2 linked regions of the Canis lupus familiaris genome follow. The protein of the gene in region 2 purifies or fractionates together with the protein of the main gene of each other region. This does not show direct contact. Links are inferred from orthologs where the notes say so. Each region holds a gene or a part of one and is shown on either strand. Other genes may lie near its edges.

Evidence for each region. Proteins that work in one complex are often made in the same cells at the same time.
Region 1: the proteins of L3MBTL2 (region 2) and MAX purify together in Homo sapiens (affinity purification with mass spectrometry; 6 studies listed by BioGRID and IntAct, with this or other methods). This does not show direct contact. The link is inferred for Canis lupus familiaris from reciprocal best matches to the Homo sapiens genes L3MBTL2 and MAX.

The regions. Positions count from the first base shown.
Region 1 is NC_049229.1:39,737,767-39,741,514, forward strand, and holds the start of MAX (protein max), read right to left. Parts: upstream 2,538-3,748; 5' UTR 2,523-2,537; coding exon 2,385-2,522; intron 2,247-2,384; coding exon 2,220-2,246; intron 1-2,219. UniProt on the Homo sapiens protein: Transcription regulator. Forms a sequence-specific DNA-binding protein complex with MYC or MAD which recognizes the core sequence 5'-CAC[GA]TG-3'. The MYC:MAX complex is a transcriptional activator, whereas the MAD:MAX complex is a repressor.
Region 2 is NC_049231.1:24,958,620-24,961,142, reverse strand, and holds part of L3MBTL2 (lethal(3)malignant brain tumor-like protein 2), read left to right. Parts: intron 1-98; coding exon 99-333; intron 334-534; exon of another isoform or gene 535-590; intron 591-809; coding exon 810-875; intron 876-1,819; exon of another isoform or gene 1,820-1,846; coding exon 1,847-1,963; exon of another isoform or gene 1,964-2,039; intron 2,040-2,342; coding exon 2,343-2,455; 3' UTR 2,456-2,523. UniProt on the Homo sapiens protein: Putative Polycomb group (PcG) protein. PcG proteins maintain the transcriptionally repressive state of genes, probably via a modification of chromatin, rendering it heritably changed in its expressibility.

The DNA of each region.
Region 1 (3,748 bases), on a different chromosome or scaffold from region 2:
AAGTTCTCCAATAGTCCTAAATACTTGGTTGTTCACATCCTTTTCTGAACTAATACAAAGCTTAAGAATAGTTCCCCCAAATTTTAAAAAATATATTTATTATTTATACTAAATGGTGGGAAATTGATGTATTCGCAGAGGGAAAAAACCCAAAATCCATTTTACCCCACTTGTTCACGATAATTGTTTGATATTCTATAAAATTTATCTATTGCTTCTTCTCTCCATACTATGGTGATTATTTTATGCCAGATAATATTTAAAAGTCTCAGCAAGTAGAGGTGTCAAATTAAAAACAGAGGGTCAAATTCACTCCCACTGCCCACCTCCCAAAATCAACGAGAAAAAAAACCTAGGCACCTTACCACCAAACTAAAAATATCTAGAAAAAACAATGACATTAGCATTCTAGGAGAGTGGAAACATTTTAATAATTTAATAAAGCAATTTACATCAATACCCTTGTGGATGGATATTTTGAAAAGCAGAAAGCTTTCAAGAGCTGTAAGCCAAACTTTCACAAAGAAAACTTTCTCTCACTGGAAAGCCAATGTAATTCCAAGTCAAATAATGATTCTGCAAAGCATGCCTAACCAATCCCTATCCTCCAATCCTGATCAAGCCCTGGGGCACATTTTATAACTGGAGACTTGGAAAAAAAAATGTTTTAAATAGACTGGATCCCAAACATGAAACTCCACGTTCACAATAAGGATCACAGTGACTAGAAAAAAAGAACTGAATTTCCAAATAAACACGTAAAGGTAAGTGTCTGACAATATATCAAGGAAAGATAAAACAAACAAACCTTTTATAGTGACTTTTACCCAGGTATAATTTTTAAAATCTTCTGGAACAACTGCATACTCTAGATTTTACAGCAAATATCAGCTCTCAATAAACAATATTTTTTCTTAATGCCTATCTGCATGGACAACCTATAGAAACTTTGCTTGCTCTAAAAAAGAACAGATATAAGGAAGAGGACTTGCTTTTATCCTGGGATACCAGAGGTACCAAAGTGTCATCCTGCATATTCTAACAAGTTCCCAAACAACTTGGATGTCCCAAACATCATTTCAAAAATCAGAAAAATAACATAAAAATCTGGGTTTCTAGACTTTCTTTAAAAATAAGATCTGGAAACAGTGAGCCCTTACTCCCACATAACACCCCCCCCCCACCGGAGTTTAGTGATTGCCTTTTCAGATGAGACATGTGCATTCCAGAACCCAGTCCTCACCTCCACTCTTTATTCCCAACGATCTTACTGCCTGGGCTCCCCAGAGGCATCTGAATTTTTGACCCCCATTCTATAAACTTCGTACTGTTCCCATCGGTCAAATGTTAGACACTCTGATGTATTTCTCTTCCTCTCTCTGACTCTGATTTTTTTTATGTCTATCTTTTTTTTTTTTCTCTAATCTATTCATGGTACTGTCCCAAACTGGAAAGGCATGAGAGTAGTATCTATCCAAATCCACGGAACCGTCTACTGACAACATTAATACCAAACCCTGAGAAATTTACTGATAACATTGCATGTCTCAACCACCACCTTTTAGCAAATCTATCTCTGCAATGCCACCTTTCCTTGACAATTTTTCCATTTTCTTTTATACCTCTCCTTCAACTCAATCAGACCAAAATAAGCAGTTTGTGACGCTTTCATATTCAACCTTTGGTTCCTCTACATTTCTAATTTCTGCATTAGAATGATACCAGGTTGTGCCAGATTCTATAGGTCTACAGCAGTCACATGACCACGTGACTTTTGGTTAAAGATGATTTTTTGCATGTGGCTTCAGCTTCACATAACTGTGCATGTATGGTTTAGAATCTGCTTGTGCCAAACGAAATCTGACCACTTTGCCCCAAAATAATACAATTTACTTCAGAATGACATTTCTCATTTTACACTTACATAGTGACATCTAGATCCCCCACCTGGAAACTACAGAAAGAGTCATTTCTCTGCAAACAGCTCCTTTCACTCACCTACACTCACTGAAACACCGGAGAGTCTAGGATGAGGAGATTTGAAAACCCGCCCCCCCGCCCCCCACCTAGAACCCCAGAAAACTGCCCCGCCTCACCTTAGCGGTTACAGAAGAGTTTACTACAGTATTAAAAACAATAGGACAATCTTTTTCTCTCTGACCCCAAAAAGGACTAGAACTGAACGGAAATGAAAATGAAATGGAGAGTAGGAGACGTACCGCAGATTGAAACCTCGGTTGCTCTTCCTGGAATAAGAGAGAAAAAAAAATAGAAAATATAGAAGTTATTTTTACACTTCACATTCAATAATAAGAAAGAAAATGCCGGCGGCGGAGGAAGCGGCGGGTGGGGAGTCAGCCAGACCCCCCTCCCTCCCTCCTCACCCCACGCCCCCATCCCCCCAGCGGGATCCGGTAGCCGGGCAGGGGGGGTCCCGAGCGCCGCCCCTCCTTCCGGGATCCGACTCCGGCCGGAGGGGGTTCAGAGCACTGTCTCCTCCCCTCGCACCCAGCTCTGGGCATCTGGGCACTCCCACCCCCTCTCCGCCCTCCCTCACCCGCCAGGATCCGTGGGTCACGGGAAGAGGGTGATCGCAACCGAGGGGGGCAGGTCCCGAGCGGCGTCCCCTTCCCCGGGAGCGGACAATGGATCCCGGGCGCACCCTGTCCCGGACCCCCGGATCCTGAGCGGGATAGGGTGGGAGCCGGAGGCAGCAGCACCTTCCTCCACCGGGGGAGGTGGGGGGTCCCAAAGGCCGCGTGTCTCCACCCCACCTCCAGTCCCAGAAGGCCGCTCCGGCTAGGAGCCTGGAGGGGAGCGAGCCCGGAGCGCGGCGGAGGCGGTCCCAGCCGGGGGAGGGGAGGGGAAGGGGAAGGAGGAGGCGGCTGCCCGGCCCCCTGCCGCCGTCGCCCCGCTGAGAGCCCCGGCCGCTGTCCCCGCCTGACAACCCGCACGGGAAGGAAGAAGCCCCGGGACTCACGTCGCTCTCCACCTCGATGTCATCGTTATCGCTCATTTCCTACGGCCCAGGGAGCGGCCACTGCAGCGGCGGCGGGGAAGGGGGAGGGGTGGAGGGGAGGGGGAAGTCACCGACAACAACAAGCCGAGTCCCCCCACACACACACACACACACTCACTCACTCACTCGCTCTCTCACTCACACACACACACACACAACACGGGCGAGAACCACCTCCTCACTGCAGCACCGGATCAACGGCGGCACGCACGCCCGGTCGGCCCCCTGCCACGTGACCCGGTCCGTCACGCTGGGGCCGCCGAGACTTGTAGTTGTCTTCCCTTTGACTGACGGCCCGGCTGGCTCCGGAAAAACTACAAATCCCAAAAGGAGCTGCACACGGCCGTCGCCGGTCCAGCCTGCTGACGGAGCCCAGAGCGCCTGCGTGTCCTGTGGAGGGGGGCGGAGAGCGAAGCGAAGCGGTGTCTGCTGGGAGTTGTAGTCCGCAGACCGCGAGTTGTCAGGAGGTTTTCTTCCAGAGGCTTGCAGAGGAGGCTGCTGGGAAGACAGGACACGTGGAGGGAGCTGGGGCTCCAGGAGCCCGGCACTGTCTGAGCGCCGGGCGCCGGGCCCAGGGGACAGGGTGGAGGCTCTGGGGGAGTAGCTGGCTGCCTAAATAACGCTGCCTCTCCTTGGTGCGACTGGTTTTACTTTGTCTTCCTGATGCCTGAGTCGCTCTGCATTGCGCCCTGGGGCGTAACCCGCTTGGGCCGGGGGGGGGGGGGGGGG
Region 2 (2,523 bases):
CCCTTCCCCACAGGCACTCCCGGCCCACTCCCTCTCCCCGGTTTGGCCCCTGGGGCCGGGATCTGGCTGCCATGGTCACCGCTTCTTCCCCCTCCCAGGACTGCCCCAACCACGGCTTCAAGGTGGGCATGAAGCTGGAGGCCGTGGACCTGATGGAGCCCCGGCTCATCTGCGTGGCTACGGTGAAGCGGGTGGTGCACAGACTCCTCAGCATCCACTTTGATGGCTGGGACAGCGAGTATGACCAGTGGGTGGACTGTGAGTCTCCGGACATCTACCCCGTCGGCTGGTGTGAGCTCACCGGCTACCAGCTCCAGCCACCTGTGGCCGCAGGTCTGGGCTCTCACGGCCTCAGGGGACCCTCAACTTTCCTTTTCTTTTTCCTTCCTGTCAACTGCTCCCCCTGCCCCGTGCCTACCTCATTCTTTGGCATGAGAGCGATTGGTCTCCTGGACCACTGCTCACTAAAGAGTGGCCCTTGTGTCCCCTGTCCCGCTCCTGACTTGTCTGTCTCCCTCTCCCTCTGGCCTGCAGAGCGCCTTCCTTGATCTTGCCCACTCTGTCATATGCTCGTGCCCTTGTGCACCCAGGTAAACCCCCCAGGTCCCTCGGAGCACCCCTAGTGACGAGGGTGGGATGAAGGGACAGTTGCTTCCAGTCCCTCCCCCATTCTCACTCAACTTTGGCTTTCCTTCTTGGGGTGTCCCGTGTGTAAGGGAGGCTGAGGGATGGGTAGGTGTCTCGGGATGTGCCTGTACTGTGTCCTCTCAGAACTCTCTTAACCTCTTCCCTCTGTCTTTCAACAACAGAGCCGACCACACCTCTGAAGGCCAAAGAGGCCACAAAGAAGAAAAAGAAACAGTTTGGGAAGAAAAGTAAGTGATGCTCTGAAGAAGCGGCCAGGGCTGGGGTGGGCCTTGGGATCAGCTGGGCCTATGTCCCTGGGAGCAGAGGGGGAGTCGCCGCTTGGGTAGCACCCTCCATGGTCTGGTCCCTCCATCTCCTCTCCTTTGCCCTTCCGCCCCATCAGGCCCATCAGCCTGTGTCTTAAGGGACTCAGGTACAGATAGGGAGTCTTGAATCTCTGGCAGGGGTCAGGATCCCGAGGAAAAAAGCAAGAAACAGTATTTGTAAAGGAGAGAAGGGGGAGGAATCCCCAGCCCTTCTGCCCTGTGGTCAGAAGTCAACGCGACCCCATCGGCAGTGCACAACTGCCTTTTGAAAGTAAGATGGCGGGGGCAGCATCCTTCTCCCCAAGCCTGTCATCCTTCCCTGGGGACCCTCAGGAGTGGAAGCTTCAGGATCATTTCCTTAGGTGGGGCTCTGCTCTTAACAGATCCTGGGCCCTGTGCGGGCTCAGCTTGAGGGGGACAGCAGGTGGAGTGGGGTGGGAGGAGGTAAAGCTAGCCCTCGGAGCTGCCGGCCTGTGGCAGCAACATGCTCTCCATGATGTGGCGCCACCCAGAGAAGAGGTGGTCCGAAACAGGATGGGGAGGAAGCCGGCGTGGTCCCTGGGCAGGATCAGGGTCCGGTGAGGGTATGGAGCTGATCATGTGGGAAGACCTCGTGCCGTCTACACTAGCAGGGCTGGGAAAGTCACTTCACAGGTGAAGAAAAGACTGGAAGAGGGACAGAAGCTCAGCAAGCCTAACTGGGGGGCTTAACCTGCTACAGGAGAGAACCTCCCTGAGCGTCGGCACCCGGCCCCGAGGGGCGGCATCAGAGCTCACGCTCTGCTCCCCTGCAGAGTGGCACCTGCCTTCTGCTCACCACTGGAGGACACCCAGCCATCGAGCCCCACATGGATACTGCCCTGTGCTGGGTTTCATTCTGTGTTTATTCAAAGGGAAAAGAATACCACCGACCAAGACCCGGCCCCTCAGACAGGGGTCCAAGAAGCCCCTGCTGGAGGATGACCTGCAGGCCACAGAGAAGAGCTCATCGGATCCTGTTCCTGAAGAGAGTAAGAGCCTCCCGGGCGGGGTCAAGACAGGGCCGGCCTGCTCCAGTGCTCAGAGGCGGCCCGCCTCCTTCCCCACCTGGGCACAGAAGAGGAGAGTCAAGTGTGAAGGGACTTTGCCGGGCACCAAGCAGTCCTCCTTGGACCACTGGGCCTGGAGAGCTTCCCAAACACCCGCCCCCAACTCTGAACGGAGCCGCGCATCTCCAGCCGGGCCCTCTCCATCTCTACTGCCTGCCCCTCGGGGGGAAGGTGCCACTCCCACCTCCCCACCACGTCCTGAGGGCCCCCGTTCCTAGGGAGCCAGAGCCCCCTGCCCCTCCCAGGGTTTCACGCACACTCACTCTGTTCTCCCGCCCTCCCCACCTCCCTCCCTCTTTAGTCATTGCTGTGCAGGTGAAGGAAGAGCATCTAGACATGGCCACGCCCGACAAAGCCCCGAGTCCAGAGCTGCCCGTTCCCATCGAGAACATCAAACAGGAGACAGACGACTGAGCCTTCCCCACCAGCCCGGGGCTCCTCTGTTGCCACCACCCCTTCACCCTGCTTTAGTGTGGAGACAA